Linked DNA regions of Caenorhabditis elegans. The protein of the gene in region 2 purifies or fractionates together with the protein of the main gene of each other region. This does not show direct contact. Each region holds a gene or a part of one and is shown on either strand. Other genes may lie near its edges.

Region 1 (7,795 bases), on a different chromosome or scaffold from region 2:
ATGGCAGTCAGTTTGAAAAAAAAGTTCAACAATAAACAGGAGATCAGATAAATTGAGGAAATAGTTTAAAATTTGGGTTTTCACAGTTTTGGAAGTGTATCGAAAGAGGGACACAAATGAACTAATTGAGAAGATTGAGATAAGTGAACGAGACCTTTTGAGCTTTCGCCAAAAATTGAAACGGGGAAATGTTTGGGGTGAGGGAGAGAGGCACATCAAGTGGAACAGGTTTGTGAAATAAAATATGCAATGATTAAAACGTCCTAACTAGAACTTTCTAGGCAGTGAAACTCATCTTATTGTTGTTAGCTGCGGGTATATATTTCATGTTGTCGTAGATTGAGTACAAGTCGGTGAACGAGAACTGCTGAAGAGCTATGAAGCCTTCGATTCCTTGCCTGAAAAATCACATTTTCTTTTCGAACCACTATAATTCTGAGTGAGGTTCCGCAAGTACTTGTGTATTTTTTAAAAGTAACTTTTCAAAAATATACAGAATCACGTGTTGAATGTTTTTGTATTTTTAGGCATAAAAAATAACCATTTCTAAGCCCAAAACGTTCAAAAATTTTGAAAACTTACGATTTAGCACAGTATACACAGAAGACTGTAAACTTTCCGCCAATATCCTTCACGAACAAAATACAAAACACTTCACACTCGCACGTCATACAGAAATGGGATTGTTCTCCACTTGTTCGAGTATGAGCTTTTATGGTTTTCTTCTGAGACACGATATAATCGGCAACCATTCTCAGGAATGCAAGTGATCTGAAATAAAGTTATTACAAACTTGATTGTTCTTCTTAGGCTACTCACCTAATCAATACACCTTTGCAAGTATTGTAGATGAGCTGGTTGGTAAACTTGACATTCTTTGCTACTTGCCAGCACATTAATTGCATTGGAACTTCACTCTTAAATCGGCGCAGCTTGTTGTATTCGTAGCTGAGCAAAGAGATGCTCAACTGTTGAAAGTTGAGTGGCGCCACATTCCAAGAAATGTTGTTGCACCATCCCGAAGCTTGTACCCAATGAATGGCTCCGCCACTCACATATACCATGTCTCCAGCCTTCTGTGTGAAACGGTGCACTGGAATTCCTGCATCTAATAAGTCATCGATAATAGGCCAAAATGTTCCAGTCAAAAGATCAACGCCATTCTTCTCGCACAACTTATGCATCTTTCCCCAATACTCGTATGGAACGGCAAACCATTCACAGTCACCGGGACCAATGTTTATGTTGATGGAAGCCATGTGATTGCTATCCTGATGAGCTGGTGTTCTGCAGCCAGGAACTTTCATGAAAAGCTTAACAGTATTCATGCCGTGAACTTGGTGCCCCAAGTGGGAGAGCATGTTTGAGCCGGCGATGAGGCGACAAAAAGCAGGAAGTTTAGAAAGTTCCTGAAAAACGGCAGTTGTGTTTGGTTTTAAAATATGGAGCAATAAAAAAACTTACGTTGATCTGTTTTCCCCATTTAGTGTCATCAGATAAATCAATATTAGTTCCATATTTAATAGACTTCAGATGTTTCGGTGGAGAGCTGGCTCGCTTATACAATTTCATTCTTTTAGGAGAAGGTCCACGTGTTCCTCCCACATTTTTCTTGATTTTCTCAGCTTCACCCTTTAGCGTGTGCTTGAACGATTCCGATTGATACTCGGCATACTTGTTGACTGTTGTGTACGAGGGATCACTGACACATTGCCATGTCTGTTGACTTGCATGATCACAGTTCGTTTCTGGTGGTAGTTGATACTGAGTTCGGATTTCAATTTCTTGGTTTCCGTCAATTTCTGCCACTGCTTTCGTGGAGAATAGCGACAAATCGAGGCGAAGGCAACCAGTAAGTCCACGAATACAAGAAATAGTAGACCCATCCAAAAACCGTTGTAATTCCAGACTTTGAGCTTCCTTCCTATTGTCCACCGTAAGAATTGGGGTTTTAAGAATTAATGGATGCTTTTCACTCCTTTCTAGCGCCGTGCGTACATCTTCATCTGTTACAATTGGCTTTACGGGACCTCGTGGTGGCTCGGGTAACTTCGCAAATTCTTCAAACACTGGTAGGTATGTGGAGTTTGGCTGAGTTCTTCTATGAACCATTTGCATAATTTCCTGAGCGCTGATATCCATTGAAACATAGAGCTCCGAGAGCAAACTGAAACTATCCGGAAGGTCATTAAACGAAATTTTCGGTAAGAATGGGAAGCTGTAGCATCTCGGCGATTCAAGTAGATGCCCATGGTCGCGAAGGTTTTGGATCATTTCCTCGGTGACACGTGGCATTTCACGAACGGCTTCCGGAATTACGTATTCAATAACTTTTGCCTGAAAAATTTAATGTTTTTCAATAAACCATTTAATAATCCCTATGGTTTTCAAATGTTTCAGATTACAGAAAAAGTGAGTCACAACTTTAACTTTCAGTTCTGATCACGCTTCAGTTATTCAGAATATATTTTACATGCGACAATAGAACATAGAAAAGCTTTATAATTAGGCTCATTGCGTCTACTCAAGAGATTTGTGCAACAGATACGCTATGAAATTCTCTCGTTTTTTTCCTTTTTTAATGTTAGAAGCAACACTGGCGGCCGCCCTGGCAGCAACTGCATCATCACTTCCCTTGATGTACTGGCATAAATGTATAGCTATCATACACTAATGAAAAGAGTATGACTTCTAAGCCGTGTTTGGCCTTTTTTGCTCGCATTTTTCACTGGCCTGTGTTTGTCAGCTATTTGAGCTCTTATTACCTTAAACACTGCCTCGCTGGTTTCCAAACACTCAAGAACTTCTCTCTCAGCTTTTACTAAAGCTGGTTCGTTGGCACGAAGCAACTGCATAACCTGGATTTCGAGATCTTCCATTGGCCTTGGATACGTTACATCCCATTCCATATCTTCCGGCTTTTCATGCTCCATTGTTCTGAAATCTTCCCAAAGATCCCAAAACGCGTTGTCATACTGAGCTTCTCTGTCCTAAAAATTGTGGTTTCAAAAAAACGCACATGACAACAATCACTTACAGCATAGGCAGCGTCTTGACGATTACGAAGCTCTAGAGGTATTGGCTGCTCATAAGCTTCTTTCAATGAAGGTATCACGGTTTCAAATGTTGATGACGAGGCGTGATTTGAGGGACGTGCGGGCACAGGCATCGAGAGTTCTTTTTCAAGAAATTGTACACGAGCTTTGATTGGTTCCGGAGCAACTGAAATGTCATGATAACATTAGTTTGTTCTTTAAAAAATCTGAAATCGTTAATTACTACTACTCACTCAAAACAGCCTCTAGCTTTACATTTAACCTACATTTACAAGCTCACCTTCCTAAAACTTGAAAAACTCAAAACTGCAATGAAATATATTGTTTCTCTTTTTAATGGATACTGCGTTTCATTTGTCACGTCTTCTATTTTATTAAACATTTTCAACTTGGAAACACTTACAGTGTGTATTGCTAATTTCAAAATGAATGTTGTTTGTTATCAGAGCTTTCTTAGAAAAGACCATTACAATTGAAACAACTTGGTTTTTTTCTTAAACATTTTTCAGTCGTTGTCATAAATGTTGTCATACTTCCTTTAAATATATTTTCCAATCACGTGGAAATTTTATCTGGTGACTAGAGATTAAGCAGATTAGTTGTGCTTCTGTTATATCCTTTCATTTCTCTTATATTTTCGTTTAAGTTTACATTCAATGTTTGGCGATAGCAAATTTAGCGACACCCATTCTACTATAGACAGGCAAGTATCATTGGCTGATAAGAAATGAAGAAAATCATATTGAAACTGATTCATTCACAACATTTTTTGATAGAAATTTCAATTTGGTTTTTCCAGAAAAGTTATAATTTATTTATATTCTTCTACTTTTTCTTTCAGGAAACCATCAACATACCTGGATTGTTCAGCATTGCATTTTTGAAACACTCCAGCGCATCTTGGTACTGGGCATTTTTCTCATAAAGCTCTCCGAGATCTGTCCATGCCGCAGAATGTGTTGAATTCAGCTCAATTGCACATATGAATGCCTAAAACGTGTTCAATATATTAAAAATTGGAGGCATTTATTGGAAAGATTGGGGTGGGCATACGCCATTGTTTTGAGAATTGCTCTGATCTTGCACACTGTGCACATTGTTTCCAAAAACTCTAATTTTGATTCCTGAACATACCTGAAGAGCATCAATGGGTTGATTTTGTCGCTGATACAGAGCTCCAATTGAGCACCACGTGTCCGCATTCTGCTCTTTTTTGTCAATCGAAAACCGGTAGTTGACAAACGCATCGTGTGCCTTAAATTCAGGAAGAATTAAATTATTTTCCTAACGTTTTTTTTTGAAAATTAGAGGTTAATAGAAATAAAACAAGTTATTTTTTAAGATTGTTAAGGAACAAAATGAACACAAACCACTTGTCCACTAACACTAGGCTCGTGTTCCCCGTAGACTCGTCCCAGATAGTAGTAGCTTTGTCCATCTCGTGGATCTGTATCATGTGCACTAATGAGATTCTCTTGGGCCTTCTTCAAATGATCCAGACGATTTGCATCGTCTTTATAAGAGCGGCGATATGAAATCCAGCCAATTTGTCGCAAACATGCTGCTTTCACACTTATCAATAAGTCAACTTGTTGTTGATCCACATTCGACTTGCTTTGTAAGAAACTGATGTGTTGTGTTAACTGAAATTATTCGATTTTTTTTTGTTTTTAACATTGTTTGGTGATACTACTCACTTCAGTTATTAGGTTTTCATATTCTGATTCTGCAATTTCAAGCTCATCATTATTCTCGTGGCTCAGAGCAATGTTGTACTTAATTGTGAATTTCGGCATAAATACTGACTCATCACTGTCGTTGACGGCAAGTTTGAACAGCTGTAAAATATAATAAGTTTATTAAATAACTGAAAAGATTTTACGAAATTTTACGCATTGTAAAGTTTCTGGAGTATAGCTTTTTATTGCAAAAGCATGCGTATTCTCGGTCTTTTGATCTAGCTTTGTAGAGTATCTAGCTAATTTTCCACAACTAGTTGTGGGAAAACTGCCAGTTTGCTCGAGAAAGCTGATGGTAAGACTTACCAAAAGTTTAATTAAGAAAGATTGTAGAAACACTACAAATTTTAATAACGCATTGAATGCAATTAAAACTTGTTTTTTTTATGTCTCAACTTATAACTTTTTCAGATCGTTTTCTTAATACTTACATTTATGCATCTGTTGTAATCTTCAAGTTCCATGTAACACACTCCAAGACGAACTTTTGCTTGCAATGCGATCATACCGGTTGGAAAACTATATAGCAGTCTTGTGAATGCCTCGATTGCACTAGAAGATTTTGTTTCAGATTATTCACAACAAAAAAACAAAAACTCACGGTTTCCACTGTTTGAAATGCAAGTAGACAAGACCTAACCCGAAGTACATCGAAGGATCATGTGAGAATAGGTCAGGATGATGGCTCAACACTTCTTGATAAAGCTCCAGTGCTCCGGTCCAATCATTTGCCAAAAGAACAACGTGACACTGTTTCGCCAATCCGTAGAAAATGCGCCGTTCGATTGTCTTGTACTTGTGCGTTTTATAAATGCTCTTCATCTCATCCACATATCTGACAAGGTATTGGCGGGCTTTTGCAAAGAACAATCTGACTTGATAAGTGAGATCGGCTGGGTTTTGAACGTGAAACTCGTCGAATGATAAACTGAAAATTAAAAAAATATTTACTTTATTGCAATCTTGTGACAATTTTTCAACCTGCTTAATGTGCGAATCCTTTCCAGTTCATAATTTGTCAGAAGGGGCAGTTCCAGCCATTTTTTAAAGTTTCCAGGCTGAAAAATGAGAAAATTTAACTTTTGCGCACTAAAAACAAGTAATCCTTACATGACGCTCCTCCGGCAGAGGTTCTGATTCGTCCATTGGCGGTGTGAGAAGCGATACGGTGTTCATGCACAAGACTTTTTGGGAATTATACAAATCTGGAAAAACTGCAGCGATTTAGTAATAATAAAATACATACACATAAGAGAATTGTAGGAAACATAACTTGGAGAAATCTTAATCAAGTTTTGACAAAGAAAATAAGCACAAAAAATCAATTAGAGCACTGTGAACTGGTCAATACTGTGTCTTAATTCAAATAGTATGGTTTATTAAACAAAGATCAACGTTAGAAACGGAGTATCGTTGCCATTGCCGTGCGTTCGCAGCCCGTCTCTACTGTGCCTGTTTGGCGAATGGTGGAGGGGGAAATGGAGAGGTAGTGCTCGGTATACGGACGCGCAGACGGTTAGAAACGCTTGGGCGGACAAGGAGTGGGTCGATGGTGTGCGCAAGTATGGATTGGGGTCGTCAGGGGGCAATTTGTGGAAAGGGTGAATATATGCAGATTTCGCAATACCGCACAAAGTGGAACTGAATCTCATTCAGAAATTTGTAAAATCGAGAGAACATGAGTTATGAAAAATTCCATGCTAAGAATATTGTCAAGCTACTCTGCTTTATTCTTCAAAAATATGTAAATAAAAAACTAACACAAATCTTGAACAATATTGCCAATAGTAATAGAACTTTGGTATCTTTATAGTTTTTTGAAATGTCTTTTTCACATTAAGTTTTTGATCCACTTTGTTTGAGAGCAACCAGTACATTATTGTGGATCTTGTTGTAGAAGTTATTACTTTAAAACCTGAGCTTTTTGAGATTAACAACAGGAAGACCGCTGGAAAAAAAAGTTACAATCCAAGATTTTGGACAACACAAACTGAGTTCTTGTTTAATTTCAAGAAAATTTATTTACATCTAGGAAAACAGTAAAGAAAAAGAGATCTCGGAAATACGCAAGAGAGAAGAGCAAAGTAAGAAAACTGATGGAAAACTTCAAATATCTCCAAGCACTTGATTCTAACCGGAATGTACAAAAAGTTTAACAAAAAAGGAAATGAAAGAGGGAAAAAGGGAGATAGAGAGCATTTAAAATCTTTTCACAACCAAATTATACAAGTGAAGTATCTCATGTAAAACTGAAAGAAAATGAAAAAGAGTAGATTGTGAATGGGGGAATGGGCGGGGATGAAATTTAAATTTAGGTTTCTGATTCACATTTACAAGTATTTTGTTTTTTATTGATAGATTTGTTATGCCATAGAAAAGTTTTGATTCTCAAGTTTGAAAAATCCGGGGAGCAGGGCAAGTTTTTCAGGTCCGATGAAGATAAAATCCGAATTTGTATTTTCACCAGTTTGGATCGCCGTTAGAGGAAAAGAATTCCAGAAGATTATGACACCGTTTCGAGATGCTTGGCTTGTGATGAATAACATTGTAGTCAGTGGAGCCGGAGTGAGAATGGGCATGACCAGCTCGGCGAGCTTTGATACGATCGTTGGTCGTCACTCCTTGCGAGATCTATAATAATTATTGTATTTAATTTTTTGTAACAAGAATGAATAATTTCTAAAATTGAATTACCGAATGTTCTCTATTAGTAATGTGGCTGTTGCTATCAATAACGCATTTAAATGTGTCCACGAAAATTTGTGTTCAAGTCTCTAGCAATCCTAATTTTGTTGGAAATGCCAATTTCAAAGATTTTCATTATTTGCAGTTCAATTGTCTTCTATGTATAATAAAACTCCTAACAACCAATTAACAAAAAAAACGTCAATAATTAATTTATTTTTAACAACTTTTTTTAAATCGTCACCTAACACAATAGCTGTTTCATTTGAAAATAGGTAATCTCGAACTAAATTTAAACTATCAAAAATAGTATTG
Region 2 (4,581 bases):
ATTGGGATATTTTCCGACGCTTAATGTGATGAAGATGACGAAAAAGATGCAGGAGACGCAGAATGGAGGCTTTGCTGCCGTTGCTAGCAGTGCTAATGAATGTTGATTGTATTTTCTCTTTTTTAGGGGAAATTTGACTGAAAATTTGAATTAAAAAAAAAAAAGAAAAATGCCAAAGAGTTCCGATGGGGTGAGGCTGAGCCAGAATTGTAGTTTGTAGTTTCTGAGCCTCACCCAAATTTTGAAGCGATTTTCGTGGAAAATACATTTATTTTGGTCGAATCCAAATATTTTTTTTGCGGAAAAATCGAATTTTTCAATTTTCAAACTTTTGTTTTCTAAAAGTCATGTTTTTTGAATAAAAAATCGAAAAATCGACCAAAAACTGCGAAAACCATCCACTGATTTGGTTGAGGCTCAGAGACTACAAACTACAAATATTCCACAGCCTCAACCAAGGCTTTTCGTTTAAAAACTCGAATTTTCAGTAGATTTTTCCCGATTTTCATCTACTTTTCCCCAAATTTCAAATGTATTTTCACCATTCTATCCTAAATTTTAAAGAAAAATGCCAAAAAATTCCAATTGAGTGAGGCTGAGCCAGAATTGTAATTTGTAGTTTCTGAGCCTCACCCAAATTTTGAAACACTTTTCGTGGAAAATTCGTTAATTTTAGACGACTTTTTATTTTTTTTTTGCTGAAAAATCGAAATTGTAGCATTTTTCATAGAATTTTTCTATATTCAAGCTTTTCATGTGGAAAAATCTGAAAATTATCAGATTTCTATGAAATATTTCTTTCATGAAATTTCGTCGAATTTACACATTATTTTTCGAAAATGCTAGCTTTTTCCCAGATTTTAGACAATTTTCGCGAGAAAAATCGACTAAAAACTACGAAAACCATAGCTAAAACCATCCACTGATTTGGTTGAGGCTCAGAGACTACAAACTACAAAAATTCCACAGCCTCACTCAACAATTTTTCGCTTAAAAACTCGAATTTTCAGTCGATTTTTCCCGATTTTCATCTACTTTTCCCCAAATTTAAAATGTATTTTCTCAATTTTTGTCCTCATTCTACACCTTTCTTTCGAAAATTCCGCTACTTCTGTCTCTCCCCGCTCTCTCTACCGCATGTGTGATCACCATTCTTTCTCTTTAGCTTTATTTCGTAGAAGCAGCAACGCCATATAATAATTAAAAATCGTCGTTATTTTTCTTGAAATTCTCTACGCATTTTACCCCATTTTTTCGTGTTTTATCTCAATACGATTCCTCTGCAATGCCTTTTTTTGCGTTTCCTTTCAATAAAATGAGATTTTTATTTGATTTATATTACTTCATTTTCAGATTTTTGATTTCAGTACTAAAATTCCTCGAATATACTTTAAAATTAGCTATTTATTCTGGTTTTAAACGGGAAATTCCCTTCATTTCCCCCTCGCGGCCACGCGCGTTTTCCAAGGCCACCGGCCGTGTAGTCCTCTCGGATAACTTCGAATTTAGACATTTCCGCAGTATTTTGCTAAAAAAACCGAGTTTCAGACGGAAATTGAGCATTTTTAATGGATAATCCGGAGAGTACGGGTGACGTTTCGTGGTTTGAGCTATTCGTCGACCCAACATGCATCTCAAAGTCGCTTTTGGACCCGGAAAAGAGAAAACGTAGGGAAAAATGCTCGTTTATGCCTGAAAATTCATGCTTTTCCATTGCAGAACTCCCACGACTATGTATGCAATTCACGGATAAAGGATTCCTCGCCGAACGGGAAAAAGATAAAGGAAAATTGGCTGTCGAGGAGCTGATGCTCTTCGAGAGAAAGGCGGCAAGTATGAGATTGTGTGCGATGGCCACGTTTGCCGCGTTGGATTATGATATAGAGTTTATTATTGATAAGTGAGTACTTGATTGAGGTGAAAAAACGAAGAAAAATGAATGAAAATGAGGCTAGAAGAGTTCTGTGGGTTGGTTGAGGTTCACAGACTACAAACTACAAAATTTCTGAGCCTCAACCAATTTTCTAGTCAAAAATTCTGATTTTGAGAGTTTTTCAGTTAAATTTCTTGTATATTTTGTGGAAAAATACAACAAAAAAGATTTAAATGCTCAAACAATTTGAGAAATTTCTTAAAATTCAATTTTTTTAAATTTTTTGAAATTGTAGTTTGTAGTCTGAGCCTCAACCAATTTGCTAATTTGAAAACAAATTATTTTGGATGTTTTTTCATAGATTCAAATTTATAAAAAAACTGAAATTTAGGTTTTCTCTGAAATTCAGAATTTAAAAAAATGCCGAAAATTCCAAAAAATTCGGAAATTTCACAAGAAACGTCCAAAAAATTCGAATTTTTAAAAATCTTAAATCGAAAATTGAATATTTCGCTCTTCCAGGCAAAGAAAACTACAAAACTTCGTGAAAAGTTGCGTTAAAAATGGTTGAGGCTCACAGACTACAAACTACAAAATTTCTGAGCCTCAACCAATTTTCTGGTCAGAAAATTGAGATTATGAGAGTTTTTCAGTTAAATTTCCTGTATATTTTGTAGAAAAATACAAAAAAAAAACTTTTTGTTTTTAAATTTCACACAAATTGCTCAGAAAACCAGCAATTAATTTTGCAATTTTGCAATTTTGTAGTTTGTAGTCTTAGCCTCAACCAATTACTTTTCCAGCATTCCTCGCAACGAAATCCAAACATTACGTGTGCTGGCCGACAATTTCTATCGAATCTACAACGAAAAGAATCTCGACGCAACATTCGGCAATTGGCTCTTCTACCGTTTCGTACTTTCCATAGATCGCCGTAATCGTCTTGCACCGCCGGCTCCGCGAGCCACAATTCCAACAACTTTAAGCAATGGACAACTGATGCCAACTGATCCAGCACTGCTGAAACACGAAAAAACACAAAGAACAATTATGGAATTAAAGGAACATGTGTTGAAAGCGAGAGCATTTATAACTGAATTGGCAGAAGTTCCACGAGATGTTGTTGCTCCAGGAATTCAGTGCTTTTTGAAGCCTTTTGTTGAACTGGCACCGAAGTGAGCACGAGAAAGTGCTGAAAATCCGCTAAAAATCCGCTAAAAACTTCAAAAAAACTAGTTTGAAACCGAAATATTTTTGGTTGAGGCTCAGAGACTACAAACTACAATTTGTGTGAGCCTCAACCAACTGTTTTAGAATGGCTGAGTGAGGCCAACAAAATTTTGTAGTTTGTAGTATGGGTCTTCAGTTGATAAGATTTGTTGAATAGCTGGAATTTGAGAGAGAGAGAGAGAGAGAGAGAGAGAGAGAGAGAGATAGAAAAAAGAAAACTTCTGAATTTTACAAGTTGCTCTCAGTGAGTTGGTTGAGGCCCAGGCAAGCTACACTACAAACTACACATTTCTGAGCCTCAACCAATTTTTTTTAAAATTTTCTATTTTTTTTTCTTGAAAAGCAAGTTTTTCGAACAAAAGTGTGATATTTAGTCCAATTAATCAGCATTTTTCTAATTTTTCAGCCAATCTTGTCAATTTGAATTTGGTTGAGGCTTAGACTACAAACTACACTTTTTCTGTTAGCCTCAACCATTTTTCGCAGAATCTTTCAGTATTTTATATGAAGAAAATCCTAATTTTCGTTGAAAAAATCAAGATTTTGACCCTAAAATAGCGAAAAAAACATCAAATTTTGTTTTTAAAAAGAACTGCTGAAAATTTGGGTGAGGCTCAGAGCCTACAAACTACACATTTCTGAGCCTCAACCAAATTTTTTTTTTTAATTTTCGATTTTTGCGAGTTTTCAAACGATTTTTTCCTGAAAAGCAAGTTTTTTTCGAACAAAAAGTGTGATATTTAGTCCAATTAATCAGCATTTTTCTAGTTTTTAATACCTATCTTGTCAATCTGAATTTGGTTGAGGCGTAGACTACAAACTACACTTTTTCTGTTAGCCTCAACCATTTTTCGCAGAATTTTTCAGTGTTTTATAAGAAGAAACAATACGATTTTGAGTCATTTTTCAAATGAAAATTCTTCAAATTATACAAAAAAAATTGATTCCTAAAAGTTAAGTCATCGGAAAAAAATTCGAATTTTTTTTTTCAGAAATTTTTTGATTTTGACAATTCGTTTTTTTTTCTCGAAAGGTCGAATATCAGTTTCTCACACTACAAACTACAAAATTTTTTTTTGTAAAATCCCAGCTTAATTACATTTATTTTGTAATTTTCTGATTAAAATTAGAGCAAAAAATCTGCTATAAATTGTGTAGTTTGTAGTCTAGTCTTCACACACATCAATTTTTCAACCAAATTTTAACTTTCAAATCGAAAATTATCGCTATATTTTTTATTCATTACCCACATTCTAATATCGTTTTCCAAAGTTTTTCTCTCACACTACAAACTACAAAACCACAGCCCTGTAAATGCAGGTTCTGTAGTTTGTAGTCTGTAAAATACACCATTTTTCCACAAATTTTGTGTGATTTTCGCTAATTTTTGTTTTGCTCTTTTGCTTTAAAGAAGGACTAACTGTTCGGACGGTTTTGAACGTATAGACCCAAAAAATGAGCTCAAATGAACGAATTTC

Evidence for each region.
Region 1: the proteins of ints-8 (region 2) and utx-1 fractionate together in Caenorhabditis elegans (co-fractionation; one large-scale study listed by BioGRID). This does not show direct contact.

What each region holds. Positions count from the first base shown.
Region 1 is NC_003284.9:8,555,356-8,563,150, reverse strand, and holds the start of utx-1 (JmjC domain-containing protein), read right to left. Parts: upstream 6,001-7,795; 5' UTR 5,972-6,000; coding exon 5,906-5,971; intron 5,854-5,905; coding exon 5,777-5,853; intron 5,724-5,776; coding exon 5,397-5,723; intron 5,348-5,396; coding exon 5,227-5,347; intron 4,895-5,226; coding exon 4,754-4,894; intron 4,700-4,753; coding exon 4,427-4,699; intron 4,311-4,426; coding exon 4,191-4,310; intron 4,047-4,190; coding exon 3,914-4,046; intron 3,223-3,913; coding exon 3,038-3,222; intron 2,991-3,037; coding exon 2,766-2,990; intron 2,338-2,765; coding exon 1,465-2,337; intron 1,410-1,464; coding exon 820-1,409; intron 772-819; coding exon 583-771; intron 399-582; coding exon 278-398; 3' UTR 1-277. Other genes in the region: dhhc-14 (Palmitoyltransferase), read right to left, coding at 7,256-7,426.
Region 2 is NC_003279.8:13,467,339-13,471,919, reverse strand, and holds the start of ints-8 (INTegrator complex Subunit homolog), read left to right. Parts: upstream 1-1,548; 5' UTR 1,549-1,568; coding exon 1,569-1,668; intron 1,669-1,719; coding exon 1,720-1,900; intron 1,901-2,676; coding exon 2,677-3,048; intron 3,049-4,581. Other genes in the region: ndrr-1 (Protein NDRG3), read left to right, coding at 1-106.